Linked DNA regions of Drosophila melanogaster. The protein of the gene in region 1 purifies or fractionates together with the protein of each later gene. This does not show direct contact. Each region holds a gene or a part of one and is shown on either strand. Other genes may lie near its edges. The genes, in order: CG5447 and Frl.

The links.
Region 2: the proteins of CG5447 (region 1) and Frl purify together in Drosophila melanogaster (affinity purification with mass spectrometry, with the first as the bait; one large-scale study listed by BioGRID). This does not show direct contact.

What each region holds. Positions count from the first base shown.
Region 1 is NT_033777.3:26,443,842-26,459,607, reverse strand, and holds CG5447 (uncharacterized protein), read right to left. Parts: upstream 7,075-15,766; 5' UTR 6,951-7,074; intron 6,755-6,950; 5' UTR 6,748-6,754; coding exon 6,586-6,747; intron 6,520-6,585; coding exon 6,367-6,519; intron 6,040-6,366; coding exon 5,899-6,039; coding exon of another isoform or gene 5,860-5,898; 3' UTR 5,700-5,859; intron 5,629-5,699; 3' UTR 5,023-5,628; downstream 1-5,022. Other genes in the region: CG14238 (uncharacterized protein), read right to left, coding at 1-530, 1,062-1,255; CG14237 (uncharacterized protein), read right to left, coding at 2,366-2,731; Pdf (Pigment-dispersing factor), read left to right, coding at 3,545-3,853; CG43117 (uncharacterized protein), read right to left, coding at 4,568-4,795; Hex-t2 (hexokinase testis 2), read right to left, coding at 7,377-8,228, 8,317-8,925; Hex-t1 (hexokinase testis 1), read right to left, coding at 9,057-10,454; tx (taxi), read right to left, coding at 10,914-12,068.
Region 2 is NT_037436.4:14,045,964-14,062,195, reverse strand, and holds the start of Frl (Formin-like), read right to left. Parts: upstream 8,982-16,232; 5' UTR 8,129-8,981; coding exon 7,853-8,128; intron 769-7,852; coding exon 685-768; intron 1-684. Other genes in the region: CG13484 (uncharacterized protein), read left to right, coding at 9,200-9,655; CG6833 (uncharacterized protein), read right to left, coding at 9,988-10,860; Neurl4 (neuralized E3 ubiquitin protein ligase 4), read left to right, coding at 12,527-12,697, 12,754-13,113, 13,174-14,108, 14,171-14,347, 14,406-15,490, 15,561-16,232. UniProt on the Drosophila melanogaster protein: Together with Cdc42, involved in establishment of planar cell polarity in the developing compound eye by contributing to ommatidial rotation. Together with DAAM and Cdc42, has a role in neuronal development of mushroom bodies.

The DNA.
Region 1 (15,766 bases):
ATCCACTGCCTCGTGGTCGTCGTCCTCGAGTGGCGGACAGCACGATGGTGAACTGCATGAGGCTCCAGGACCATATGCCCAGTGTAAGGAAGACCAGGAATCCAATCTTTGCTATCGAGTCATCCTTGTAGGAATCGAAAAATTCAATAATATCCGCCGCCGTGCCAATGTAGACCAGGAGCAACTGGCTGAGCTGATCCCTGGTTAGATCGCCCTTGGGCAGCAGCCAGCGACCAACGATCAGGATGAGCATGAGGAACTGCTCGATGAGGGTTGTCCAAGTGTCCGGGGTCACCGAGAGGGTGACCCCGGCCTGACCCAGCAGAGTGGCCACCGGTGGCACGCCACTGCTGTTGGTGCTGGTGATGAAGATGGTGGTGTTGCCCACGGGAATGCTGTAGTTGCTCGGACTGTAGACCGTCGAGTTGGTCGATGTCATGTTGCCCACCCGACGTGCTACCTTGTCCAGCTCCAGCAGCCATATCGCCGGCACAATGCTGCTCAGGTAGAGGAAAACCGAGGGGCAGAACCTGCGGACAAAGGACACAAATGAGGTGGCACAGCCGAACGGCCAAAACAAACAACAAGTCTGAGTGATGCGACGAAAGGTAAACAAGAGTCAAAAAGACTCCATCCCCCACGAAATTCCATTAAAGTTTTTACTAGTACAAAGTGTGAGGTGGACAGCTTACACTTGAAAAAAAGTACACCCCGAAATGATAATACAAATTGGCTTTAAGATACAAAATTCATAGGATTTCCTATTTCTAGATTCAATTCATATGCATATTTTTATCCAAAAATCCTATGTAAACTACATTGTGTTGTTTGGAAATCGTGGCTACTTTTTTTTTGAGTGTGGGGGTGCGGCCGCAGTGTTGGTGGTTTCTATGAAAGTGGGTGGCCAGGTTAGGCACACATTAAACACATGATTTCACTTTTAATTGAAAATCAAAACCCCGCGGCATGACGTCAGCATCGACTGACTGTTGTTTACATTTCGAGTTGGGAGTTTTAATCAGATGCCTGGGGTAGCCAGGATCCGTGGGTTTCATCCTTACCAGCGCCACTCCTGCGTCTTCTTGATCATGATGGTGAAGATGCCCTCGAGCAGCAGCAACAGCAGTGGTCCACATAGTGCCCAGTATATGATATCACTCTTTAAAGCCACCACCTGCCAAATGGCCAGCAGGCTGTGCGCACTGAAGATGATCCTCGTGAGGATGGCCTTGATCGTCGAGATTATCTTGGCCATGGCTGCAATGACATAATCCTCTCGTGCTCGCTTCCTGCAGCTCGGATAATCAGGACCGAGGAATACCACCAAATCGACCCGAACCGACGAAGCGAACCGCACACGGCGAAAAGGTAAACGCAACTGACAGCAGAAATCGCGGGGTCCCAAATGCTTTCATTAGATGTTTAAACGCTTTTTAAGAAATTAAGGACACAGCCGCGAATGGCGCGTAATTGGTGAATGGCCACGGACCCCCGTCCCGATGTCCTGTGTGTGCGTTCAGGACGAATCATCTTCGGCTTGTCCAGGGACGAACTGCAGACCGAAAAGTAAAGATTCTTCATAGTAAGGAGAGAGTAAAAAATATGGATCTTAAATAAATTCTAGCTAATAATAACTTTCTTAATATATTTTAAAACCTTTTTTTTCCATTTTAATATATGGGAAATTAAGTTTCATTTACTTTCTATACTCTGATGTGACCAAGACGCTCCTGGAAATGTCTTCCCAACCGAAATCGAACCCATGCGTGTTTCACTTATGTGTGCCTCCAAGTCACACCACGACCATTAAATGCTTCAGCTGACTTTTAAGACGGCAAACGGTGGACGATAAACGCGGAGTCCGCGTTCCACCCACCGGATTTTGGGTCTGGCCACAAATGCAGTGCAAACAAATCGTCGGAGTGAACGACGCCGAGCCTTGGCCATCAAACTGCTGGGTAATGTGGCTGCATGGAAAGTTATAGTCATCGTAAACCTACCCCGTCGAGATATATCCGATGTTTGCCCATTGGTTGGGGGGCGGAGTTGGGTCAATGTTTTTGCCGCACGTGAAGTCATTGAACAGGCATAAATAAAGGATGATGTGCGTTGTGTGACTGGGCACAGCCATGCTAGAAGGGGCAACCTGTTGATGGGAACAAAGAAAATTTCAAATAAGGTAAGTAATTTGGCATATATTACGCATACGACATGTGCAACAACCATTGGGGAATCCTTCGCTTTTCACACGTTCTAGTACTGACCTTTCTATTATCCTTATGGTTTTAAATACTCAGATGTTTTTTTTTTTTGGAAAATTGCTTTTATTGCATGTATGGATATGACTTGATGTGGATTTTGGAACCTAGCCCTGATTGCGGCGTCGCAGCAGCCTATTGAGGCTGCGCACACTGACCCGCCTTCCGGAGCGATTCCTGGTCCTGTTCCTGGAAGTGGAACTGGCACTGGTGTCACGGTAGACGCGCACCCTGCGCTTAATCGAGTACTTGAGGTTCTTGATCCTGAACCGCTTGCGATGGACCTTCGAGGAGGAGGAGGAGGAGGAGGAGGACGCGGTGGTGGTGGTCGTGGTGGCTGCTGTCGTCGTGGTGGTGGTGTCACTGTCCGTCGTGGTCGTCGTAGTCTCCGTGGTGGTTGGCGATGAGGCGTTGGTTGCCCAAATGCATAGGCTTATCGCTAGGATTCGGAGTGCCAGTTGTCCTGTCTTCATGGTGTGCTCGGTGATGCCGTTGCTCGGATGAACTACCACTTCGGAGGCTGGGAGTTTTATATGTGACCAAGACAATTGGCGGAATTTCTCAGCAAATATTTGCATTTTGCTCTCGCCAATTACGTCCGCGCGAAATTTTTTGGCCATATTTACACAGTTTGGTGATCAAACAAAGGAACAAGCTGGAATTTCGCAAAACGGCCCAACTGCCGAGCTAGCTATTAAGTTTTATATATATTTAAGATTGGTATTTTTACGAGCTTCGTTCTAAAATTAATCACACAATTACACAGAGAGAAAACGAATTGAGCAAAATATTATTCACAAATAAGGTTCGTTTTAATGGAAGGTCAGCAATTTTGTCTGCAATCGTATATTATTTAAATCCAATAAATAAGTTGGTTTAAAGAAGTGCCTAAATTGGGTATCCTCCTTTTTTTTGAGTGCCACATGGAGTCGCCAGTGAGCTGCCTTCCCGTACAAATATCGCTGGACTTGAATGGGATTTGGTGCCTGCATGTTGGCACATAAAACACTGCATAACCAAATATTTGCGTGGCTCCAACTCGACTCCGTATTTGCCTGGGCTAAAGGACCGCCGCTGCCTGCGGATGACATGTATTGGTCCTGCGGATGACACCGATACTGACGCTCTTGGGTTGCGTGGTCGGGCGGTCTCCCGCAGTGGGTTATCCAGTCCAGGTTGCTATATAAGTCGAGGATGCGCCAACCGACGTTCATTCGCAAGTCTCCTGCTGCAGGTGTTCCGTGCTCAGTTCCTGCTCCTGGCCATCCTTCCAGCTCCTCGGACTAATGGCTCGCTACACGTACCTTGTCGCCCTTGTGCTTCTGGCCATTTGCTGCCAGTGGGGATACTGCGGCGCCATGGCCATGCCGGATGAGGAGCGCTATGTGCGCAAGGAGTACAATCGGGATCTCCTCGACTGGTTCAACAACGTGGGCGTGGGACAGTTCAGTCCCGGCCAAGTGGCCACTCTCTGTCGCTATCCGCTGATCCTCGAGAACTCCTTGGGCCCATCCGTGCCCATCAGGAAGCGCAACTCGGAGCTAATCAACTCCTTGTTGAGTCTGCCCAAGAACATGAACGATGCGGGCAAGTAAGAACGGAAAATGCTGAAGGATTAGGACGACCCACCACTGAAAGATGGAACCTGGACAAGAATTTATTATTTGATGTTATAGTATGATTTTTTGGTGCGTCGAAGGAAAATGAAAATCCGCAGATAAAAGCCGGTGTAGTCATCTAATAGAGAGAAAAGACCGTATAACTTTTGTTGCTTTAAACCTAAATAGAAAAATATACAAGTAGCCTATTGTAGAAATGTTGTATATTATTAGGCTTACTGCTGAAATAAACGTTTTCTGGATTGTTTCGACTTGAAATCTGGTACAACAACTAGTCAGGATTTTTATTCTTAATCACAGATACTAAAGCTAGTTAAAGATATTGGTTATCCCCGTAAAGGGCGAACCAATGAAAGCCAAAGGTGTTCTCAAAGTAGATTTTGTTCAATGCTACGATTGGAATAAATAGATGTTTCTAGCTTAGAATAGCAGCCCCATTTCGTTTATTGACTTCATTTATTATGCTATATCTAAGCAGTCAAAACCTAAGGAACTTGGCCATGAACTTGGCAAACAAATGCGTAGAAAGTAAACTAAATGAGAACTAAAGTATGTTCATAAAAAACACACTTATAAACAGAAAGACAAAAAGATCTGTATGTAGAAGTATAAATTGTTGTGCCCATTATTAGAAATGTGTTTTCTTTAGGTATTTTTTATTCGCCATTGTTTGGTAAGCTAAAGATCTTATTAACCAGATTTCTTGTTAACATGGATCCTGCGCACTGTCTTATAGTGGAGATTACGGATCGTAAAATGTTTCCTATGAACGGTTGTGGCCTTGGCAGTGGTGGTTGTGGTTGCCTCCGTGGTTGTGGTGTTGGTGGATGTGGTGGAATTGGTCTGGGCTGAGGAAGGCTGCAGCAGGCAGAATCCGGCGAATAGGACGAGCGCCAATAGATAAGTGCTTAGCTTCATTGTGCGGCTTTGCAAGAATCGTGAATGTATAAGACGAGGCTTTAGAGGCCTTTATATATACGAAAGTTTTCTACGCCAGACAATAACAAATATCCGCAGATGATAAGTAAATAGCGAAATACAATTGAAAATCAGCAAAAACAAATTTTGCACGCCACATTTTGCTTAACTTGTTTGCTTCCAATTCGATGTTTACCCGCCGCAGGAAAACAGTTGTAGGCGCGTTTAAATGACGGCAATATATATATTTTTCTTATAAGATATATAACTATGTTAATCAATGTTGCTGATTTATATTAAATATCGAACGATTCTCGATTCGATTTATGTGTAAGTTCATTTGGCGCTGTTTGAAATCGGTAAGTATTGTATAGAAAAAGTTATGCGTATGCATTATGTCTGATTAAGCTTGAACTATGTGTGTGTGTATTTATGCAAATGTTAATGCCATATTGAAATTACAACATTAGACAATCGAATTGTTGGCAACTACTACAAACATGATGTATACAATTCTATTCATTTTCAAATTACAAAACAATCAATTCTCGCTGGCCTTTCGGTCCGATTAATAAAACAATTGTAACATATGCGAATGTGTGTATATGTTGATGCTTCTTGCTTCGGCTCAAAATGCAGTTTCGGTAGCTTTTCACTTACATGACTATGCCTGCTATTGCATAAATACTAACTAACTGGCCGTACACTGCCTTGGCTAATCATTAACGGCTAATCTAGCATACAGTATGTGGCTGCAGCGGAGGCACATCTACCAGCACACCCGTGACTAAGTCGCATGCCCCGAAAACGCTCTGGCCACTGCTTTTGCCAAGCTGAAAGGATGCGAAAGTAAATGTTAGTTAGTTCAGTTTGCAATTGAGTGCGGAATATCTGAGATACTCACACATATGGTTATAGGTTATAAAGCTTTAGCTGCTTCCACAGCTTTTTATTGATTTATATTTTTGGAAACGCACTCTGATGGCGCTGACTTTTGCTTGATAATTGCTGAAACGGACTCTTCTCCTTCACATGCCTGTTGATGCGACTGTAGCTGCTCGATCTCACATGAAAAACTCGTTGGCTGAATGGGAAAGCGGAAGTCACGTTCGCCCCGGACGATCGAATATTGTAATCTCTATGACGCGAAGTCCCCGATAAGTGGGATCGATCAGCTGCAGTCCCTTGGTGTTGTAAATGCGTTCATTTTGGGAAGCCACAAATTTGGATATCTTGCGAAGGGTCTGTGGGGGCGAAAGAGCATTAGTATGTGCAGGCAATAGAGCTGGAAGTGCCACTGCCTTATTTTAAACTCGTATAACAGATAGCACGATCACTAATTAGCAAGTAATACTACTACTTGATTTATCAAGTTCTCTGACCTTTATACCTTAAACAGATATGAAAACCTTGAGTACAAGGACATTAACGAGAATAACTTTGATAACTTATACGATCGCATATCGACATTTGTGAAATTGTTGACTCTAATCCCTATTAATAGTTCCCTAGTGGAACTAGACTCTATTGCATTGACCCACATGTGTGTAATCCAAACCCAAATGACGCACCTTTTCATAGTGCGTTTCGGAGCACATATAGATCAAGTAGGCCGTGATGCAGCCAATGCAGCCCTCGCAATAGGTGCCGCAGGATCCCTCCTCCGCCTCGGCGTAGAACTCGTTTAGCCTATTGATGGTGGCCTCGAAGACGTGTCTTTCAATCTGCACGAGAATCGATATGAGTTCGGATGATAATCCCACAGATAATATAGAGTATTATATAGTCACCATGCCCTCCAGCTCAGCGGGCAGCCGTGTATGGAACTTGACGGAGGTGCCCTCGCTGTAATCGCGCTGGATGAAGACCTTGCTGAAGACCACGCCCCCTCCGGTCGCCTGGAGCGCTGTGGGATTACCGCCCGCTGGAGTAGTGCCACCGCCTTGGGACATGTTGTCGCTGAAAAGGCGGATAATGGCATTAATGGCCTCGCTCTGCAGCGCCCGATGCATTTGGTTAAGGGCAATCATCTTGATGCTCAGAGTGGAGTGTCCAAATCCCAAATGGACAGCTGGCCTTGCTTTTTCCAGCACCGCCCGAAATGGGGGTGTTTTGCTGGTCTGGTCGGTGGGGCACGGCCTGCTTGGTTACCCACCTGTTTGTCTTGGCTTGAAGTAATCGCAGTTGGCCTGGAAAAGCTCACAGGAATGCCCTAATTGCCTCAAATTCCTTAAATTGGTCGAGAGATAAATGTTTGCAAACTCCAAGTGTTACCAGATGGCGAGTTGGCTTTTATACCAAAATAGTGTTACCCCATCCCTATCGTTCCATAAATATTCTAAAAATACTGCATGTACTAAAAAATACTATGGATGTGCAGTGTTGCCACTAAGGCAGAAAATTATTATATCTTTGGCGCCATAATTCAAATCGGATTTCTGGACACAATTTTAAGTTTGAAAGGATAATATTAAAAGTTCCCATTATATCCTTAAATCTTTATTTCTTCTTCCATAATTTTGTGCTCATATATCATTGTCCGTAACGTTTCCCATGCATTTGAAGAATATCAACTTCGAATTTAGAGCTTGCTTTTGGCCTGGACTGCGGTGGCCGCCACGAGAGCCGCTCCTCTTCCGGATCCGTCCTCCGAAACAACCAGCTCAAACTTGACGCCCGGCTTGAGGAGCTTCTTCATGTGGTACTGGAGCATGTCGTGGTACTTGGGATGGAAGCGATACACGCTACCGTCTATGCCGATGGCCACCTCGTTGATGTTCATCTTGTTGATAATGGTGACCAGGCCGCAGGCACATAGCTTGGCAGACCTGGAGGACACCGCCTCGCAGATGTATCGCAGGGCCTCTTTGTCGGGTTCCTGGCAGCCCAATATGCCCAATTCGCTAAGGACCTTATTGCAATTGCGATACTCGCCAGGTGCATCACTTTCAACATCGGAAATATAGGCGGTTTTGAAGCTCCATCGCTCCTGGATCTTCTCGGAAATGATGCCGTGGAACATAAAACCCTTGGCAATCATATCGGTGATGACCAAACGTACAAGTTCACCCATATACATGCCCGATATGCACTTTTCGAACGTCTGCTTGCCGGGATTGGGTGTTACCTTGTCGACTGCCTTGTCGTAGGAAGTTCGAACGAACTCCAGAACACCATTGTCCCCAAAGGCGCCCCACTCGCAGTTGATTATCATTGATGGCTTGGGACTGGTCTGGTATCCTTCGAAGCATTCGGCATTTACTGTTTTCTCCACATAGCACGCATTGGAGCCGGTTCCCACGATCAATCCAATCCGGCAGTTGGGATGATAGAAGGCGCAGGACATCAGAGTGCCCACCGTATCGTTGAGAATGGCGACGGTATTGATCTTTAGATCGCCCCTTCGATCGATTGCCTCCTGGAGAAGACTCACCTAGGAATGCATATTAAAAGAAATTCATTTGTTAAATATAAATGTTAATAGAACCACACGTAAATAGTTTGAACGCCATGAAACTCACCACATTCTTGCCCACCACGCCTTCGCAGCTGAATCCTTTGGTCCAGGCCACAAGGATACCCTTGGAGAGTCCCTGCTGCTGGAGCGGAAACGAGAAGGTGAAGCCCAGAGCCAGTGATTCATTCTCCAGGCCATGGGAGTGACAAAACTCCGACAGGCATTCGGCAAGGAAGTCGAAAAGCGCCTTTCCCGATCCGGACATCAGAGTTTGAGGAAAATTATAGCCCTTCGACATGGTTTCCACGTCCGAGTTGCTAATCAGGTTCACCAGAAGCACCCTGAAATTAGAGCCACCCAGATCCAGGGCCAAATACTTTCCCCGCTCCTTGCCAGTGGGCAGATCTTGCACATGGCTGACGAAGCACTTGATCACCGCTCGTGCATGCGTGTCCTTGGCCAGGCCCATCTTTATCTCCTTGGTCATGCGCTCCACCACCTCGGTCATCTTCTCCTGGTCGATCAGGAAGCCCTTGACCGCGGCTTCAATTTCCGTGTTCACCAGGCTCGGCATTTTCCTATTACAGCCTCCACAAACTGTTTTGTTATGAAACAAAATTTTAAATACAGGGCCGAATAGAGAATGAGTTAAAAGTCTAGTTGACTTTCTCATGAGGTAAATTTCAATTCTTGCTTTGGACGTTCTGGTTGAATAACATGGAAAATTTAACAACATGGAAAATTCAAACGTATATGTTGTCATTGTATTTAAGCAGACATAATAAAAATTTTATTTATGCATATCTAGTAGTCCATAGTAAACAATTTCGCGTCCGTTTTGTACTTGTTGGCATGTGCCATTCCCGCCATTATGGCCGCTCCCACTCCGCAGCTGTCCTGGGTGATGACAAACTCGAAGTTGTAATTGGGATCGGCTAGCAAACGGGTGTACTTATTAAGAACGGTGGAAAAGGTCGGATGAAGGCGGTAGATGCCGCCATCCACGGCGATCGAGATCTGTGGCAAGCGCATGCGGTCAATGAGGCAGGAAACTCCACTGGCCACCAGCATGGCAGCACGATTTGTGACCGTGTCGCAGATGTATTTCAAGGCAGCCAGATCCCGTTCCTTGCAGTGACGTATGCGAAACTTGTCCATCACCTCCTGTGCCTTCGTATAGACACCCGGCGGATCCGAGACGATTTCGATCAGCGACACCATGTCCAACTTCCACTGGATCCCTATGTAATCACGCCTGTCCTCGGCAAAGATGGCGCCCGATTTCATCAGGCGAAGCACTATAATGCGAACCAATTCTCCCATGCAAAGAGCTCCACTAAACTTCTCATAGATCCGAGTGCCCGGATTTATGGACTCGGTGTCCAGCTGGCGATCGTATTCGTTACGTATGAAATCCAACTGCCCAGTATCCCCGAAATGGGCCCAATCCGAGTTAATGATCATCAGCTTTCTGTACTCATCACCCTCGTACGTTTCGCACCTTTCGACCCTTTCCACATAACAGCTATTGGCAATACTGCCCATGATCAAGCCAATTCGGGTATCCGGTTGGGCCCAGCACAGAGCCAGCAGCGAACCGGCTCCGACATTGATGATACCCATGACATCGACGGAGATTTCGGGAAACTTGGCCAGAGCATCGCGCAGCAGTTGGACCACATCCTTGCCGATGGCGCCTTGGGCTCCAAACTCCTTGGTCCACGACACAAGGATACCCACATCCAAAGCCAACTTCTTTAGGGTAAAGGCAAAGGCTATGCCCAGCGGCAGATTGTCCTTGTCCACCTTTTTCTCCTTCACAAAATTTGCTATGCTGGTGGCCAGAAAGGTGAAGACCTCGGTTCCTCGACCCGCTGCCACAGTATGCGGCATAATCACGCACTTGGAACTGGTGTAGATATCTCTCTCGCTGCTGAACTTCACCAGCATTATCCTGCAGTTAGTGGGCATCATCTCCAGGGCCAAGAACTGACCACGCTCCCTGCCCGTTGGCAAATCCTGTACATAGCTCAAGTGGCACGGAACGGTCGAACGATCGTGATGATCGCGACTCAGACCCATCGTAATCTCACGATCCATTGCGTTTTTAATCTTCTCAAGATCGTCTATGCTCGGATTGAACAACTTGCAGACCTTGTAGACTTCCGGAAAGTCCTCCTCAGGATTAAAAGTGTTTGCCATTTCGATGTGTGTCTATTGATCTCAAATATAAGGTATGATTTATATTGCGGCTACCTAATATCAATTTCAGAATCGCTCCATTTAAAACTAATAATCTAAGAGTCTACTCTGTTTCATATCTCTGAAAGTTGAAGGATCCAAAATCCCATCACAGAATAGATTGTTTGAATCAACACTGGGTGCTTTATTTACAGGATAACGAGAAATGCGTCACAAAGAAATGCTTAAATCACTAGTTGAGTTGAGCTATCATGTGGATGTGGCGGTGAGCAGCTTTTGCCTTCGCAGGATGTGAATATACTTATCCTGTCAGCTGCTTGCTATGACACAATGAATTCCGCCTCAATGGCGCATCGCATGTAATGGCTAATAGTGAAAGTCGGGTTAAAACTCGCACTCTAACTTAAGACGAGGGTTAGGCTTAAAAGGAGAGTAGTTAGGGTTGCTAAGAAATACGCGTCACGTGAGAAACATATCCGGAAAATCGCTGTGCAGCAGGTCGAATGGATACCCATCCAGAGCGGAGAACGAACTAATACAGGCCGACGGCTGCTGATCGCTGGCAAAGTCGAAGGAATCCTTGGAACTCTGGTCCAGTAATCGCAGACTGAGCTCCACATCCGACTTCTCCAGACCCGACATGGGCAGATCACCTCGGCAACCGGGCAACAGGGATTCCCCGCTGCCAGTGAGTAGACTTCCATAGCCGGGACTTAGACAGGAGAGGGAATCCCCATCGGAGGTATCCAGAAGCAGAGAGTCCAGGGCGCTGATTCCGTTCAATCCCACCAGACTGTCCAGCTCCAGTCCCGGACTGCTACTGCTGCTGTGGCTGTTCGATGACGAGGAGAGCGATGCGTAGGCGGAGGAGGCAGGCGATCCAATCGAAGAGGTGGCGTAGCACGACTCACCGGAACTTATCGGTGGTATCTGGGGCACTATCTTGGCCTGCTTTTGGCTCTGTCTTTTGCTCGCGGCGGAACTCTTCTTACCACTGCCCTTTGTCTTGGCTGGCTTCTTGGCAACTGGAACGGGTAGCTCCACCTCGGCTTCCTCGTTCGCTTCCAAGTCCACTCTCGCCTCCCGATTGGCACTCTCCTCCAGACACTCCCCTATAAATTCGCTTTCATAGCTGGGATCTCGAATCGAGTCGGTCAGCATGGTGATGTACTTCATGGCCAGTCTCAGGGTGGTGATTTTGGTCAGCTTCTCGTTGGTATTGGCCGCATCCTCGCCCTTGATCGCTTCGGGAACACAATGCCTCAGTGTCTCAAAGGCCGTGTTGATCTCACGCATTCTGGTTCGCTCCCTGGCATTCGCTGTTTTCCGACGGTATTTACTCAGTGGCGGTGCTTTCGTCTTGGACTTGGTGGGTGCATTTTTCCTCGATTTACTAGCCGGCTCCGCTATGGGATCTAATTCTAGTTGAAAGTCAGCCAGGTTGGCTGACTCCCCATCCTCGTTGGAGCCCCTCTTTTGTCGCTTCTGTCGCAGGGAATACTTCTCGCCCCGAGCACTGGCCGTCTTCCTTTTGCGCGAATCCTTGGAGTCCGTCGCTCTGGCCATGTCATTCAGATCGGCGTAGTTGTGCAGTTCGTACGTATTGGACTTCATCTGAAAGTGGAGTGCAGAGGCAGACTTTAGTCGAGGGTCTTCTAGGTTATATATATTTCGAACCCATCCCATCCCATCCCGGGGCAATTAACAATTTTGTACTATTTTTCGAAAGACATCGGAGAGCATATGGGGCTTGTGCAATGAAGCGAATCGGTTATTTTCGGACCCACCCCGCCAAAAACTTCCGTAAACGGCTCTCGAATTGGCTTCAATGAACTGAAGTCGATTCTTGAGTAGTGCTTCCGTCATAAAACCCACTGAAGCCGAAAAACCGAGACGAAACGAAACGAAACGCATCAAACCAAAAAACTAATAAATACAATTTAGCAGCGGGGGCAAGAACAAATTGGTCTGCCAAATGAAATTTCTCATTGCTCATTGCGTTGCGTAATCTACAAAATTCCCAGTATCTTCTCGATCGGCCTCTGAGTCATATTTGCCAGCAAAAAACTCTATGAGCTGGCTTCTCAACTCCTAAAAATGGTTTATTCAAGTTGTTGAATTCTGGTAAGCCCATATTAGTTTTACGTATTTCACATCGTATGAGTAATGTAAACGCAAACAAGTGCATTTGTTTTAATGAGTAGGCTACAAATATTTAAAAAAATTGTCATTAATCTTGTTAAGAACTAAAAGTACTTATCCATAAATTTCAAAAGATTTCCTAAGCTGTTAAATAAGTTAGTTTTTGTTATAGCCTTTGAAAATACATACAAAATTCCAATAAAACTTTAATTAGCCTATATAAAACTTTTAACACGAAAGTTCATAAAAATATTTTAAGACCTCGTTAAATTGGCTGCTTTAAAAATATACAAACAAGTATACGGATGAGAAAGAAAAATAAATTATGTTTCGTAAATGCCGCATGAATGGAATTGTTCATAAACTAGCGACTAATTTAAATTTTATTTGCCTTGATGAACAGTTTTTTATTTCTGTAATTAAATGCTTTATCGCAACAGTTTTAGGAATTTTCATAACCAGTTTAATAATTTGCTTAAGAGTGGTCTATTTTAAGAGAACCTCAGATTTTAGGTGTTTTCCTATTTGTCACACAAGATTGTTTATGAAACATGAGTAGATTGTGTTCACTAGCCAGATAAAATTTCCCAGAAATGTTGATTGTTATAAAATATTTTTCGTGAAAGGAAAATGGTGAGTTTTAAATTCCCGTCATTGCCAAGGGCGCTGTCTACTTCATTTCAAATGGGGAAAGTTTTGTGCGGTAAATGAAATGTTTATTATTTTCTTTTGTGTGGTGCGGTAGGTCAGCTATATGAAATATTTTCCCCTCTATCGAGAGTTGAATGCGGGGCGGATACATTTTGCGGTGACTGTTCGGCGGTTGGAAATGCAACAAAGCAGCGCAAAACAAACAACAAAGGCAACGGTTAATGAATGCATTTTAATGCAAGAATTAAGTTACATGAAAATGTAACATGAAGCCAACGCAACGCAATGCAACGCCGTCATTTCCACCTCCCAAACAGTTGCAGATACACATGGTCTGTGCGAATGTGTATGGAGATAGAAATGTTTCTGCATCGATGCTAACGCCCTTGCACGTAACGTGCCTTGGCCTCATAAATCGCCAGTTTGCCATTTTGCCAGCTAGCCAGCTAGTCAGCTAACCAGCCTTCCAACCTTCCAGTTTGCCAGTCTGAATGCAGAGGTGTAAATGCAGCCAGATTGATTGCAGTCAGTTGATCTAAGGGGAGCAGCTAACGTCGAGTTAGTCGGTTTAGCCGGGCCCACTTAAATGGACAATTTAGTGCAGATTGTCCAAAATTGGCACTAGACGATTCTGGCCACCTTGCCCGATTCAATCCGGCTCGCATTGGCTTGGATTGCCAGCATGTTGGCTCGTTGTTGGCCTGCTTGACACTTGTTGCATAGCTTTGACCATTCCCAGAGCTCGCTCTTGGCTTGGCCTAAACGAGTTATGAGGTGTTTCTCCTTAAGTGAGCACTTTTCTTCGATTACCGTTAATGTTTGTTTGTCTGGCAGCAATAAAAAAAAAAAAAAAAAAAACCAGAGAGAATGCATGCCAAGAGATTCAGCACAGCTCATCTTGAAATCCCAGCAAATCTCCATTCAAATCACCTTTCCCTGCCTCAACTTTCAACACGTGGCTAGGTTCTTCACTTCGTGCCGGCATTTTCTTTTGGCGTTTCGCCCCTGTTTCGAGGTATAATTAATTTTTACCACGCAATCCTAAGAAATGCTTAAAGACCCAGCAGAAAGAAGTTTTTAAGTTGGAAAAGATCCGCATGGATTGCATGCCCTTTCAAAAAGTTTTAAATGCTTTTAGAATATGCTTAGTATCTATCCTCTACTCTACATATCTATATACATATAAATTTCGTTAATACATTATTTTTAAAGCATGGTACGAAACGAATGTCATTCTTTAAAAGACCCGCCCCCAAGTCAGTGGAACCCACTTGAGTTGTAAGGGCATCGTGAAAAGTTTGCGACATGCAACAAACAAGCTGCAATTAAGCGCGCAACACAGAAAAATTTGTGCACCGTCTTCAAAGAGGGGCGGCAAACGTTGTTCACCTGCTCACTCCCCTCGCTCCCCTCCGCCCAATTTTCCCATTTTCCCGCCCTCCGGTCCAAAACGACGTGAAAATTACCTAGTTCCGTGTGCTTAAAGTGGGCCTTTTCGCTGGGTGGGTGGAAAAGCGTGGAAAGTGCAACGACTGTCCGCAATCAACAAATTGCATGCGATTAAAAGTATTCGCGGCTAATAAACGTTTGTTGAACAAACAGCAACAAGCGGCCTCCTGATTTTCGGAGTCGCAACCGGAGGGATACAGGATATGCTGCAAGGAAGTGGAGCAGGAAGTTAGCGGGGCGCAGTTTATAGTGCATAGGGCCTGTTTCGTTCTCTGTTGATTGGAAAATTTGTTGCGCGCTTTTCGTGGACAAAGTGAGCGGTGGGGGGGGGGGAAGGAGGGCGGGGTGGTGCCTCTGCTTAAGTTTTCAATTACACGCCGGCACAATGCAGAAAGCGCCCAATTGAAATGCACAGACAACAAACATAGAACAGTTCCTCTTACACAAAAGCCCAACATTTCATTTTGACACTGAGAAAAATCGGAGGAATGTGAAAGAAATACGTTCAATCAAATACAATAAAGCTGTTATGTTTGATTACTGCTTATAACATTTCAGCTTATCAAACTAAGTTGTGTTTTTGTTATATGATATATTTATAAGATCTCATATTCAAATAAAATGTTGAGCTTTTTGACAACAAAAAATTCTTAAAGTTTTTTTCCTTACAATTATTTGCAGTTGAAGAATTTTGTTTCAGTGCACCCCTTTTCCTGATCCCATTCTCTTTTACCAACAGTTTGGTAGACAAAAGGCGAGCCGTGCGTGCGACGAGGCGTGAAGGGGTCGAGGGGCGGGGCAGGGGCGTGTGGGTGGGTCGGCCCGTTCCACAGATATATAAAATACTTTTTTTTTTTTGGGGAAAATCAGATGGAATGGGAATGGGGACGGGGAAGTTAGCCAGGCCTAGCCGAAGTGCACTTGAAACTACCGGCGAGTGGCTCCTCCTCCCTCTGCAGTCTGCCCTTCACTTTTGGTTCGGTTGCAGTCGCTGCATTTTTAGGTGTAGCCATTAAATTTAGAACTTTTTCTGCACGCTTGTCTGCGCGCCCATGGGTTTTCCGGGGGGA
Region 2 (16,232 bases), on another chromosome or scaffold:
ACCTTTGATATCAAGATTTTCCAGAGTTGACCTGCTTGATCTTTACTCAACCCCCAGTTGGCAGTTACTAATTGAAAGAGAATTTCGTAAAGTTGCTCAAGGCATAGACGCCTTTGAAATTCCAACTGGCCTACGCGCACACAATTCCATTGCGCAAAGCCATTTGGTCGAGCTTAATTAGAGCGGCGCCTGCTCCATTCGACCCTACACACATTTGTGCAGCCTAAAGGTCAGTGCTCAAGGTGTCGGCATCAACAAGACCCCCTCAGCATCCATACCCATGCATCTATTGTATAGCACCCCCCCTTGAACTGCGCCCAAGAATGGGTCCAAAGTGCTCAACTGGGAATGAAACTGCCGCCTCACAATCTGCGAAATGCCAGCAGGAAGTTATGCTTTTGATATCAAAGAGTTTTTAGCTAAATTTAGTGTGCAATGTGTAAAACATCAAAAATAAAATATTTAATCTTAATAATTATGAACAATTCTTTAGAACACAAAAGTGCCCTTTAGTTTAAAAATGTTTCATGCTTGCTCACGAATATGATTAATACATAAAACCCATTATTATCATTTATTATTCATAATTATGAATTGCAATTTAAAAGTTTAAAGTGTAAACAAATTTAATTTGAGAAAAAATATCTTATATCTTATTAATCTTAACAATAATTTGTTACTCACTTGATCGCATATCATGTCCCATTTCTTCTCGTCATCATAGTTCCGCAGCAACTTTGCTTTATCCGGTGGCAAGTCCATCGACGCCTGTCACCAAAAGATATGAAAAGACATGAAAACCATTCGTAAGTGTTGATCCTCAGATAAAGAAATGTATAAGTTATAAGATATATGTATCTTCGTAAAATGGTAAAAGCTGGAAATGGCACTCAGCCAAATGGAAAGCCAGCCAGAAATACCCCGCATATTATGGCCCATTAGGACCGTCAGTCTTGCATCTCTTAGGTTTGTTTCACCAGTGCATTGTTTCCCTGCTCATGTAAATATTTAAGTACTTTAGCTGCTGATGGTTGATTAAAAGATTATTGCAGAAGAGTCACCAAACCATAAAGAAGAGCCAACAAAAAGGGAAAATTATTCAAAGAGATGCCATGAATTTGCGCTTTTAAGCAGCTGACAGTGGAAATTAATATTGTTTTAACAATTCTATATTAGTTGAACACAAATATTTTCGCAAAACAAGAATGACATGATTTCCAGATTTAGAGCTGCAGCTCACTGAATCACTGAACCATAAAGCAAAATCAAATAATAAGAACCAATTTACCTGCTCGACTGCAGACGATTGTGTAAAATGGTTAAATGTACAATTTAACGGAAGGGAATGCACCATAATGAAATCGGCAAATATGGTTACGTGACTTCAATATAATTCTTCCACTTTTTTCTCCTTTTTTATGGGTGCAGCTGCAGTTGGAAGTTCTAATTAGACACACACACAATCAATAATGGTATGAGAGCGGGAAAAGGGTGTGGTGGAGATGAAGGGATCTACGGAAAATAAATGCAAAATGCATACCCATATACCCAAACAATATCAGATGCACATTCGGAATAAAAGAAAAGTATTTAGTGCGTTGAAATGCACGGGAACGAAACTGATTTTCATCTCTGTACGTAGTAGATCATCAATAGAATAAATTATAACTTGTTGAGCCAAAAATTTCTGTAATAATAGTTCTCATCATATTTCGAGGAACCATTTGTTGCTCTAACTTATTTATAATGTATTTATAATGTATAAGCAAGTAATTTAAAAAAAATATATTAACCAAAAAAAAATAATGTTAAACTTTGTTTTTGAAAAGCCCATAAGTGTGATAAAAATTGCTGAGAAAGTAATATTGAAAACATTAAAATGTATTATGCAGTTTTAATCAGGTATTAACTTCATTTTTTATCATGAATAAAGATAACATTAGATAGATAACATAAGATCAGCAAGTATTTAATCTCTTTTCAGAGACACTATAATTAATTTCCTCGTTTATTTTCATGCCCAAGATGTTTTTATTCACATGATGATGATAATAAAGTGCTTTCTGCTCAATGTTTTTTTCTCATTCAATTACTGCAAATTTACATGGAGCCTGCCTGCCAGTTTATCTCAGTGTTAATTAAGCTAAACAATTATTACAATTATCTTAAATTCTGGCTTTGTTTATTTTCTTTTCCCAACGTGCTCATTGCTTAATATAGACGTAATATATTTCCCTTGATCAGAGGAATGTGAGTAAATGCGAGAATGATTGCAAAATTTATTGATTAATTAATTGTAATGTTATGGGTGAGCCCCTCGGCCCCAACTCCCATGATCCCGTCCCGATCCCATCACCCCCTTCGATTCCACTCCCAAGTCCATTGTCCGTTACGGTCTGAACCCATCAGACTGAGTGATTTGCCTCGACGCGCTTTTCATAATAACAAAACAATAAATAAGTAAATAAAAGAGTGCATAAAAAGAGAGAATAATAAACAAGGTGACAAAGACGAGAGCCTCTCTTCAATATTTATGCCAGGGCAGACAGGCTCCGAAAGCCAGAAAGCGAAAACTTACTATGTATGTATATAAATTGGACATGATGTACATATGTACATACATATGTATGTAAATGTAAATATCGGTGTACATAATGAATTACTTGACCGGCATACCGGATACGCATTTTAAATTTGTTTTATTTTTGTGTCCCCTCTATCTTTACATGTGTGTGTGTGTATGTGCATAATGGGACGCGCTACGGACTGTAAGCCTGGCAACCCCCATTCAATTTCAATCTGTCTACGCTCATGCCAAATGAGTAAGCTTCGAGGGTATTTATTATAGCAAAAATTTCATATAAATATTGTGAACAGCTAGTGAAACAAGATGGAACGCCAAAACCAGTGCCTCGACTAGCAGTTACCTATTTCATAATATTCCACTAGAAATTCACAAGAATGATTCAAAGTTATTAGAGGTGAGTAATAGGTAGATGGTATTTACTATCTTTTTCGTTTTGCCGACAAATAATGGAAGCAAAAGTACATTTTATTGGAATTTTATTGGAAAAGCCACATGGGCTACATAAATTGATTTTCATGCGAATCATGAACACAATCAATAAAGCGTAAGCCACATGTGAGCTTAGTGAGTCAATCAACCACGTAATCTTTATTTCCACTAATCTATAATATCATTTTTAAACACAAATGTTGCGAATACTTCAAAAGATATCAAAGATGCCAAACGAATACGGTTTTTTAAAAGGAAGCACTTCCGTTCTTCTCAGAACTTCGAATGTATTTGTTAGTAATGCGATAAGGAAAACATTTTAAAAAAACGAACATTTTCCAAATGAACGTGCGTAACACCGATGACTTTGTTTACCGATAAAGACATAGCCACAGGACTATGACTAATCTTTTTCTATGTGTTTTCAGCACGAATTGTTATCCCTTAGAATCATTTAAGATCTACTAAAGATCTACTTACTCAACAGTTTTCCCTACATTAATTCCCATGAACTCTGAAGTCGATTACCATTTATCCACTCTGTTCCGCAAAAAAAAACAGATGGTCTTATGTTTTTATCATTAGTAGGCTTTTTCGCTATGCTCGTTTTTTGCCGACCGCAAAAGGAAGTGAACAGCAAAGATAAACTTATGTTTGCCCTACGAGGCAGATAAAGGGGTTCACATAATGTGGAAGTCTCATTTTTTCTGCAGATCCGAAGCTGCCGTTAGATAAAGCCAATCCAAATGGACAATGCGTTAAACAAAGCCATGAATATATTGCCATTGAATGCAACGAGGGCTGACATTAGAGTTCGAGTAAAATTTAAAACAATATACTTAAAAAAAAACACATCCTTATGGAAGAAGAGTAAGATTAGGTTTTTCTTATGCTTCTTATGATACGAAAATACATTTTAAAATGTTATTCTAGATCGAGATCATTATAAATGTTCAAAAAGTAAAGCCTATATTTAGTTTCAAAAATACCATCAAAAATGTTTTCATCTCAACAATGAAACCTGCCCTCGCATATGCAACGATTGCTTAACTATATTAACAACAATAACTTTTGTGGTTCACTGCCTTGCGGTTTGTCAGTCATTGGGAAAGTCATTAAGAGCGACGGCTAACCCTGAATCACCTCACCTTAACTACGCCCCGCCGGCAGGCAATTGTTTATAGATATAGATTCTAGATTCTCTTGGGCAACGATGTTGAAGCGAGTGAAAGTTGGCTTGCCTGAGAAAGCTGGTAAGCGATCGGGGATGAGGATTTGATGCGGTTTAGTCTTTCTGTCTTTCACTATATGACAATTTATGTGAATAATGACACCCACAACATAAACCGCAGTTAAGTCTCTTTAGAGTCAAAGCTTTCAATAATGCAATCACATTAACGTTTTTATTCACTAATATTCGAAGCCGTCTCACTGACGATGTAATAAATACACTTTTACTTTCAATTGAAGAAAGCATGGACATTTTATTGGCTTGATGCCAATTTTAATGCAATTAAAGTGAATTTGTATACAAACACAGTTAAATTGTAGCCTCTGTGGGTATTCAAATTCAATAAATAGCACACTTGGAATCGAGTGGAAAAATTCATAATATTTATTGTATATAAATTCATAATTGCTTTCTTAAAACTTAAAGCCAAACAATTTACCAGCTAAATGTATAATTCATGCAACTTGCTCATAGTTTAGTTGCATTTGTGGGCAAACAAACGAACCCAGCTTCTTTGAGCTTCGCAGCAGAACTGTAATTTAACCGGAAACACATGCACCAACTGCGTCTGATTAGATGCAGCCAAAGGCGAATTATTAGCGGCAACATTGTCGGATTGTTGCTATTTTTAAACAATGAATCAGACAAGCAATTGCTGTCGTTCGGAAGCCGACTGCACGGACATTGGCGCATTGGATCTGCCAGTCTCCGGTACGCCAAGTCAAGTCCACTTCAATGCCAATGGGCCATCGGCGAGCAGCACTTTTGCCTAAATTAAGGTAAACACAAATTAAGCCAAGCCGGAGACACAAGGCAAGGGCGAGGCCACCAGGGCCCGGCACAGCACCTCCAGCAATGCCACAATGCCACCGAAATGGCAAACAAACACAATATCGAGGGGCGAAAAATGAAAAAAAAAAAAACAAGTAACAGGCATAGGTAAACAGACGAAAACACACACACACTTTGAGTGCGAAAAGAAGGCAATGAATTTTGAACAAACAATAGAGCAAGAATAGCAAATGCTATCTAAGGTCTGTCGATATCGGGAATACCCTTGAATTATCATATTTTGGATTTGAAATTGACAACGGAATGGCTATGGTTTGTTTTAGATTAGGCGTGTTAACATGAATATCAATTGGGATAAGTAAGTAAGTAAGGATAATAAGATACTAATACTGTGGTATAATGGCAATCTTCTTAGTCTGCGATAAGAGTTGTTAAAAGGATTTTTGTCTGGCTATTAGAGATATTGCATTCAAAAACAATTCATCAGTTTCATACCATATTTATATGATAGCATTTCTGGATAGCATTGACTTTAGCCCTTGAACGGATACTAATTATATTAAGGAAGAAAGCAAGAACTTTGTTATATTTCTTAATGGCTTTAATAAACGCATCAATATTTTGTGTCCCCAAAAATGGCATGAGAGTAATAAAAATCGTGCTTCCTTATCGAGATGCGCACGAAAGAAGTTACAACCATGACATCATACAGTGCGAAAAAGAAATCGAGAAATTATGGAATAAACACAAAAAAAATATGTGCCAAGTTGTTGTCAAAACGTTGATAAAATGTTATCATCCAATATTTATTAAATAAAAATGATCGTAATAATTTATTAAGAACATCCTCTAGTAAATATTTTATCTTTAAACAACATTCCATATGCTGAGGACAGTATTTACAACCTTGAGATCAAAACAAAAGATCTTGAGAATGGGCATAATGCCAAAAATGAGCAGATAAGTGGGAAACCCGTTGGAGAAGCATTTCTCATATTACTGACTGACTGACTGACTGACTGCCGATAACTGAGAACTCAAGCTGCGCCATATAAATAAAGAGTTCTGCTCTCGCCAACCCCTTTTGTTCAGCTCGCCAGAGAGATAAGCCGCGATCTCCAAGCCATCCCATCCCATCGCATCCCATCGAGAAGCAGTGCGAGTAAGGGAGGGCAGGCGAGCGGACCCATGCCGGCGTTAGCAGTGAGTCAGCGAGTGACTCGAGTGCGACAGAGAGGGCGACAATCGATCAATTCGCTTTAATTGCCATTAGCATGCCGAATTGGAGTGGCTTATTCAGAAAGGGGGGAACGATGGGCGGAGGGAAGCGAATCAAATGGCGGCTGTGGGTCACTATCCGTTACGCTTTTATGACGGTCAGCGCTGAGAGCTTTTTTTTCTCTATTCTTGACTAATGTATTTATATTTTTTGGCAATATGTTTACTCGTAAAATCTTAATTACGCAGTCTTGTTCGGTGAAAAAAAGCATTTGGTGGGATGACAAACGAATTCTGACGACAGGCACACGCCCTTCGAACCTTGGTGAGAGTATTAAAAGTTTGGCTTAAAAAAGTTATGATCTTTCATTGTAAATCCTTTAAATTAAATGATAAAAAGAAGAATAAAAGGGGTTGATTTAAAAACTAGGATGCTGTTTCTTAATAAACCAATTGTAAACCATGCTAGTCATCAAGGTTTTCGTCCTGATACCTTATCGATATTTGATTTCAATAAGATATTACGAATAATTCCGTGCAATATGATATTTTGAATGCAATTTTAAGCATGGGAATAGCTAAGGTGTTCAGCACATACATATGTATATATGGTAGTTTCCATTCAGATCCCATTCCACTGTGCCCTGCTTGGGGAGTTGTGCAAGCCGGAGCGGAGAACAGAACGGGACTGAATCGAGTTGAACTGGGGAGAGGCGCAGATACAAACTCAGAGATACTCACAAACACCAGCGAACACTCACGTTTCCACAAGTGTGTGTGTGTGGCTGACAAAAATTCAAGCGAACAAGTCGCCGCACACTCGATGAGGTCATCAATCACATGCAACAAATGCGAGGGCGGAAAAAAACGGGCTGGGGCAGGAAGCCAATCCTTAAGCTTCTTTCTATATACCAGCTACTACATTCGCCAAGCAAACTCAATTTTTCAAATGGATTTTTGAACATAAACAAACATTTCTTCTAGTGTATTAAAAAATATCACCGATTCAGAAGAGGGGGTGTATTTGTTTCTAAACATTCGATTCGACTATTAAAGCTTAACAGCGTGAAAAAGATTTTTCCAGATAGATTTGTATTCTAGAACCATTTACGCATTTCCATTTATTTATTTAAATTTATTTCTTGATACCAAGCTGATCACCCAAAATAGCTTACTCGTTCATAAACAGAAATGTATATTAAAATCGTATGTTATACAAAATATATGTATGAAACATATTGTAAGCTAATAAATGAAAGGAATTTTATTTGCCAAAAACTATGCAATGCTTTTTGGAAAGGGATTGCTAGTTAATTAATTCTACAAGGCGTTATTTTTAAACTTGGCAGAAAGGAATTATATTTTTTAAATCTTTGAAGTATAAATGTATATTTGAAATATATTTCTTTGAGACTTTCCTGTCATTTAGGATTTGAATGGTACATGGAGCGTAAAATAGGTAAAAATAAATAAATAAATTTGTATATCTAAAATTTAGCAAATTATAATGAATTTAATGAAAGTATAAAATTGTTCTTTAAGCCATATTTTAATACCTAAGTTTTTTTTTTGTCATGGTATTCGGATTAACTTACCAGCACTTTGGCGAATCGTCGGTCCAGCTCATCTGTGGTGGGCATGGGTTGCTGGCTCCGGCTCCGCAGGCTCGGCTGCCTGACATGTTGGTACTGGGAACTGCAGCCGATGTCGTAGCGCAGATCCTGTTTCTGCAGCGTGCCGCTAGAGATGGAACCGTTGTGCTGGTGGCCATTGCGCATCGAGTGATGGTGCGCATGCGAATGGGGATGCTGCAGCTGCTCATCGGCGTCCACATCAGCGCTGGTGATGGTTCGCGATTTGACGGCGCCCATTATGGTGGCAAAGCGACCAGAGCCCGAAACCGAGCCGGAGACGGAGCCGCCTCCTCCTCCTCCTCCGCCGCCTCCTCCCCCTGGATCCTGTAATCCCCGGGATCCGGATCCTCCGCCGCCGATGGCGTCCTCGATGGTCGCCGCTTGGAGCGCAGTGCTAAGGGACAGCGAGAGGGTACCCCATACAGTCCGGCAAAGGGCACGCGTGCGTTCCGGGCAACTTGAAAGTTGCTCTTTGATTCCGTTGAAGATATCCAAAGCGGCTGCTGCCTGTTTCTCTGCTATCGAACGCTCAGAACAACTGGCCAATCGAAAGTGACTATTTTCCGGGCGTGTGTTTTCTTATTTTTGGTTGCCTTTTTTGTTTTTTGTTTAATTTATTTATTTTTTTTTTTTGTTTTGAAAGTAAGTGTAAAAAGTGCTGTGTTCCAAAATTTTGATAATTTAATTTACTTCTTTCTGACAATGTAAGCAAAAACACAATTTGTTGCTACTGTTGTTGCTGTTGTTGTTGCTGGTGGTGCAACGGCGGCACTCACACAGGCACACAGCCACTAGCACTCACACACACACACACCTACAGCAAGACACGGATGCAGGCACACAAACACAGACAAAGGACCAGATTTCGATGAAAGGCTCCTGCGGCAGGCGACGCCTCTTGTGCTTTGTTTGCAGGTTTTTCCGAGCGAGGGACGTGCGAATTGCTTGCAATTTGCCTTACACACCGCATTAGACTCGGTCTGTGGGCGATAAGTGTGGGAACCGAGAGCAACTGCAGTTAAATGCACTTTATTTTGCCGACCGACCGCACGACAACCGCGCTACACGAATATTCGGGACAGTGTGACCGAACTGGGTCTGCGCACGGAAACCAAAGACTGGCGGGAAAACACCCTAAATGTGCCGAAAACTGCGCTTAGCAAAGTTTTAAGCCAGTTGATTTAATTAATATGCATTTTTGTGGTAATTGCCAACGGTCGCACTTAAAATAAAAAAACATTTGTTTTACATTTCGGATCCAAGGAAATAAGCCATTATTGGCTTAAATAAGCTTTAACGACTGCAATCATGAGCACCCCTCGCAAGAACTATAACAACCTGCCGCCCTACTGCCCACAAGGCGGCCAGTACCCATCGCAGTCCGCGGATTACAGAGCGCAGCAATTCGGTGGCCAGCAGAAGCCACAAAATCCAAACGTTGGCTTCTACGAGGACAAACAGGGCCAGCAAAATGTTCCTCATTTCTACCAGAACAAATCCCCACAGGAGCCGCAGCGCCATCGGCCCTACGGTCAGGGCAGGAATTTCGGACGCGGCGGCAGCTTCAATCGCAGGAACCAACAGAACTGGGATCATCCGAGGAGCCACCAGAACAGGGAACAAAACCAGAGCGGCAGCTCCTTCGGCCAGTACTTTCATCCCTCCATGCTGGAGGATCCTTGGCGGGAGCTAATGGAACGGCACGAGGCCATCCACGGACCCAGTACTAGCCGAACTTCACCGAAAGAGGTGGCGGCTTCCTAAAATGTAGAATACAACACTAAGAGCTAGTTAAGCCCTGTAGGATAATTTCCCCAAAGCAAAGAAAGAATTTTAATTTTAGCTTTCCGATATTAAACAAAAGAATGTGTAAACATAAAAATGGTTTCATCATGAGATCCGAGCCTGCTTTTGAGTGGCACATTACGTGCTGAAAACCGCTCCGATGCCTTCAAGAAAGAACTATGGCTAAGGTTGTAACATTTTATACATTTAAGCAACAGTTTCACGTGAATGAAACCCGTGTGTATACTTAAAAATTTAAGACTACCGTAATGGAACACCCCTCAGTGCAATGGGGCTCCCCGAGTGAGCTGCTAATAGTGCTGCTGTTGATGCCGCTTCTTCTCCAGATACTTCTCCCAGTCGACGGCAACGCGATTGTAGATACCCATGGCGGCACGTGCATCCTCCACGGAATTATGCTCGCCCGTTTGGATCTCCTGACCCAGAACGGCCTTTGTCAGGCGTTTTAAGCTGGGCGTGTGGGTATTAGAGATGAGTTTGCACAGCGGCTTATAATGCGACGTATCACGAATGTCATGGAACGGATGGCGGATGCCCAGTACGGCAAGATCGTTGCGCAGGCCGTGTCCCACCAGAATGCGGCCATGTATCAGCTTCATCACTTCGTTTTGCACGGCGGCAAAGTCCTCACCGTTAGCGATGTCCTGCGGCCGAATGCCGGACACGCTGGTGCGGTAGTCGGTGACCTCCTTTCGCGGCTTCACATACTTGTCCAGCAGCACGTGTCCCATGCGATTCACGATGGACACGCGTGCCAGCATGTCGTCCCGTGTGTTGTGTCCCACGCCCACCATCTCGCAGTCCATGGCCAAAATGCGATTGCGGTGTGCCTTCTTTTTCATGCGCATGCGTGCCGATTTGCTTAGTGGTGCTGACTCCGTCGCCTTGGCATCCTGGTTTTCACTTCCAGCTGCTGCTGCTGCTCCACCGCCAGCAGCGGCCATCCAGTTGGAGCCGGCTGCCCGGCGACTTGTGTTCACCTGTTGCACCTGTAGGCGCTCCATGGAGGCTTGCAGCTTGCGTTGATTGTGTTGCGGGGAAACCACATTTTTCGTGCTGTCCGTGGTGTTTTTGTTGTTGGCAGACCCGCTTCTGCTGCTGTCCAAGTTATTGGCCCGGCTACGATTCATGTCGAACTGCTTCTGGCGTGGCGTAGCGGACATGGCGTCGGGGCATCTATATATTCCAAATAAATATCCAGCTTAAGACAATCTCGAATAACAAATGTGTTTCTTTATTTTAGTAACACCGACCAGTGTGACCGTCTTGGGGTTGCTGGAGTATTACTGTCGACGGGCTTTTGGTATTTAAACAGTGTCAATGGGTGCGTTCAGCAGGTAAATAGCAATCACGCCTTATGTAGCCTGTGAACGCATTCACTGCGTCAATAATATGTGCATTGATCGCTCGAACAAATAAGACCGTAAAAATCGCTATTCATTTACAGTTTCAGACGTTGAAGTAGTGTAAGTTCATTAAAATATTGAAGAAATGTGGGAGTATTGACTAATATTCTAAAATCACTTATGGCGGTTTTATATTTTAACAAATCGTAAAAATATCAAACTAACGGATTTTATACATATGCATGTGCACACTCGAGATTGGGCTTGAAGTTTTGGATATCCACTGCGAAGTGCGCACTTGATAAAGATGTTCGTATGCAAGGAGTTTTAAACTGGCTCCCGCGTATTTCGTTCGGAGTGCATCCTGGAGCACATAGATGTCAAGTAAGCGCAGCTTACTTAATTCGCATTAAGGCATATGGTCGTCGAGGAAGTAAAACTTTACTTGAAAAGCGGGGCGTGGCCCCTATCTGCATTCGGCCCCTTCGGCGGCCTGGGCAACTTTCCCAATCACATCGAGGATTATTCATTTGAGGAATGCCGTTTGCAGCATTACATGGCTCAACAGGAGGATCGCCTCACTATTTATGAGTTGCAGTATGCTCGCGAAATTGACTTGGCCACCATGAAAATTATTTGATTAAGATGTCGCCCCAAAAACTACTGGAAACATTGATTGAAATTTACGATCAGCCTCTAATCGACAGTTCCTCTGTCGCATCCGTCAGGGACCAGACTTCGGACGAGAGAAAATGCCAAGTTCAGCCTCAAAGCTTCCCAGGTTTTCAAACCAACTTTTCAAACCAACTGCCAGTTAAACATCTCCGGTGACACGGCGAGGCCGTCCAACAGAGCATGCTTAAGATGCTGGAAGGCAGCGTGGTTAGCCTAACCGACCGGGAACAACTGTTTTAAAACTAATATAATTTTGTTTAAAGTTTTTTGTTTTTAATTTCTTTGCAGTACAAGTGATCTGTTTTTAGAAAAAGATTATCCAAAAAGTTAGCTTTAATTTGAAACTCAAATTGAATATGAAATTTTGGATGCTTGGAGATTTTGGAGACTTGAAAATAAATGTATTTTCTTATTAGGCGAATTAAGAGCAAACCTTGTTAATTACATATAGCTCGAACTTTGTTTTCAGTGTAATAACTGATAAGCCATTCAACTAAACAGTCGATATGTTCGTTGAATGTATAGATTTTTGTTACATCTATGAACGGTCATACGAAAAGGATATTCATTTGTTTATTTTAGTTTGGCACATCTTTGAAAATAATGCATAATGCTTTGTGAAGATCTAGGAAACTGCAGACTACTCCATCGGAATTTTTCCATCAGCGCCCGAGAACCCAGCACTTACATCGCCAACAGCCGATGAGCCGCAATCCGCCCGTGTTCCCATTCCGACTGTCGATTGATTTGTACGGCGACAAGCGGCGGCGGAGAAAAGGACCGATAAAGCAGAACTGGAGGAGCAACCATGACCGGCAGAGAAGCGCAATCCTTCCACACACGCTGTGGCCGCTCCATCCGGCTGTACAATAACAACCGGATGGCCCAGCGCTCAATGCGGGATTTCAGTCATGCCCTGGTGTTCAGTGCTGAGCCCCTGGAGGACGATGTACTTTTCGAGGTCGTCATCGAGAAGAAGGTGAGTTAGCCACACGACTGCAGCAGATAGAGCTGCGGATAATGATCGTCTTGCAGAATACCTACTGGGGCGGAAGCATTGAGATTGGTGTCACCGCGGAGTCGCCGGATGACCTGGAACTGGTGGCATGCGCCACTGCCATGCGAAATGGCACATGGGTCATGTCCGGCATCGACGTGCGCAAGGATGGACGACGCCTATTCGAGTTCTATGGCACCGATCTGGAGACGCTCAACGAGAATGATCGCGTTGGCGTCATGCGCACCTCTGGTAACGATTTGGTCTTCTATGTGAACGGAGAGTCGCAAGGCGTGGCTGCAAAGAACATGCCCAAGCCTCTGTGGGCTCTTGTCGATCTCTACGGACGTTGTGTGCAGGTTTCCTTGTGTCCGCGCGATGGAAGTGGTTCCGGAGAGGTAACAATTCAGCTAATCCAAATGAATAGGTAAACAAAAACTCGTTTTCTTTGTACACAGCTTTTGGATTCTCCGCTGCAGCAACCACTGCAACAGGTTGTTCAAAACTTGGACGTGGCCATGAACGTAAACATTGTCGTTGACTCCGACGCCTGGATGCAAGGCAATGGCTCCGTATCCGGTGCTGATGACCGACTGTGCTTCCACACCCGCTGTGGGTCGTTGGTGAAGCTTTCGCCCAACTTTCGATCCGCCGAACGCCGTCGACCCCTGGACGAGTTCAATAACGGCGTGGTGATGACCCACAGGCCTCTGAGGGACAACGAACTGTTTGAGATTCGCATCGACAAGTTAGTGGACAAATGGTCGGGATCCATTGAAGTGGGCGTCACCACGCACAATCCCGCAGTGCTGCACTTTCCGGCAACCATGACCAACATGCGCTCAGGCACAATTATGATGTCCGGCTGCGGCATTTTAACCAATGGTAAGGGGACACGCCGTCAGTACGGCGAGTTCAACTTGGATGAGCTTCGCGAGGGAGATCGCGTTGGGATGATGCGCAAGGCCAACGGCAACCTACACAATTACATTAACGGTCAGGACCAGGGTGTGGCCGCCACCAGAGCACCGTCCACTTTGTGGGGCGTTATCGATCTCTACGGAATGACTATCAAGGTAACAATAGTTGATCGCGATGAACGTGAGCAGCAGAATCTCGTGACACGGCGAAACAACATAGTAGCAGGCATGACTGCATGTTCCAGTGGTGCTGGTGCTCAGCACACCCAGCACCAGCAGCATTCCGGCACCCCAACCCTGAGCCTCCTAAGTCCAGAGAGCGAGATGAATGCCGCTGGCGCTGCCGGCGGCCTAAGTGAGACCATTTCCAGCACGCGAGCCATAGCCAGGAACGATGACCGGCTAACCTTCCACCACATTTGTGGTACTCACGCCACCGTCACCCAGAGCGGGCGGACAGCGCTGCGGCCCAAGTGAGCATTGTTGTTTACGGCAGAAGATTTTTATGAATTTCAATTCCCCAATTTGTATGCAGTGCTGCCGATGATTTTAACAATGGTGTAGTGCTCACAAGGAGACCTCTGCGCCCCAACGAACTCTTCCAAGTGCGACTCGAACGCGTCGTGACCAAATGGGCTGGCTCTGTTGAAATGGGAGTGACCACGCACAGCGCCGACGAACTGGACTTTCCATTCACGATGACTAATGTGCGGTGAGTCCTGGCTTCTAGCCCAACTTTAGTTGTTTTAAACAACCATTTTCCAAACCAGTTCCGGCACTTGGATGATGACGGGAAACGGGGTCATGCAGAATGGAGTCACCGTTATCGAACAGTATGGTCAAAACCTGGATCGCTTGCAGGTGGGCGATAGAGTGGGTGTGGTGCGCAAGGACGACGGCACCTTGCATTTCTGGGTAAATGGAGTGGATCAGGGTCCAGCTGCCAACAATGTTCCCGAGCGCGTTTATGGTGTAATCGATTTGTATGGACAGGCAGCACAAGCAAGCATCGTGGACACTTCGGAGTGCGGTAGTCCGGACACTGGAAACTCTACCATCTCAAACACGACGTTGTACAGTGAAGTTCCGCTGCGATTTCACAGCATCCACGGCGCCAATGCGGGCATATCGAATAGTGGCCTAACAGCGTCGCGTCCCAATTCCCTGGCGGAGTTCAATGACGCAATTGTGTTCAGTAACCGACCGCTAAGGCAGAGGGAATTGTTTGAAGTGGAGCTGGAGACAATGGTTCGTCACTGGTCGGGCAACATTGAGATCGGGGTGACGGGCACTCGGCCCGAGGACATCCAGTTGGCTCCAAACGCCACCGATCTGGAGGCCAGCGACACCATCATCTTATGCGGCCCGATGATTTTTCACAACCGCAAGACTATACGCACGAATATTCTGCTGGATTTGGATACCCTAGGTCCTAGCACGCGTGTTGGTGTGATGCGCAATGGTGACTTCATTCACTTCTTTGTTGATGGAATGGATCAAGGGCCGGCCTGCGAGTGCCACGCACCGAACATTTGGGCCATTATCGATTTGTATGGGCAGTGCGCGCAGGTGAGTCTTACCCAGACGCAGCTGGACATCCGTGCTCCGTACGCGACCAGCGAAAATTCCCAGAGCTGCCAAGCCACATCGGTAATTCAGCATCCGGCCATGGAGACAAAACACCGCTGGACTTGCGTCTCCGGAAATGTAAGCCTAACCAAGGATTGGACGGAGGCCTCGCGCTTTACGGGAGCGGCGGCACCACTATCCCATTGTCTGGTATTTTCGGAACATCCGCTCAGCGTGGGATCACCTTTTGAGATTAAGCTGACATCGGTTAATTCCATGTTTGCTGGTAAGCTCCCCCGTTGTAGATATCTACATACATGTAGAGGATTTTAAAAATTTCTTTTAATGGTCCGTAGGTTGTCTAAGTATCGGGGTCACTGATTTGAATCTAAGCGACGAAAGCGTACGCAAGAAACTCCCAACCAGTATTCGCCGGATTCCCGCAAACGTGTGGTATGTTAGCGGAAACGAGGTGTGCTTTAACTCAAGCTGCCTGCAGCGCTCGCTGGCCTCCCTGGAATGGTTAAGGGTTGACGATAGGATAACTCTGGAACGAGTGGAGAACTCGTTAAACATTCTGTTGAACTCGGAGAACGTGAACATCCACTTTCACAACGTGCCCAACGATGTCTACGTGGTTGCCGAACTGAGAGGTTCGACGATGGGAATTCAAGTGATTTCCGCTCAAGGACCGGCGTCGCCACTACGTCCATGCAGTTTGCGTCTGCAGGACTCAATGGACTTTGGAGTGGATCCACTGAACAAGCAGGATAGCTCCATGCTGGAATCAATCGATTCCGAGGCACTGAACTACGAGTTTTTGGATGTCTCACAAAAGAACGCACGACTCAGCGATGATCGCAGAAGCGTGACCAGAATCAAGTCCTATAACCAGTCCATCGTCTGTCTCAATAAGCCGCTGTGTAAGGGTGAGAGCATCAGCATCAAGGTAGATGCCCTAAACAACAAGTGGAAGGGTACTGTCGGTCTCGGCGTTTTGTCCGCAAGTCCCCAAACTGTTCCCATTT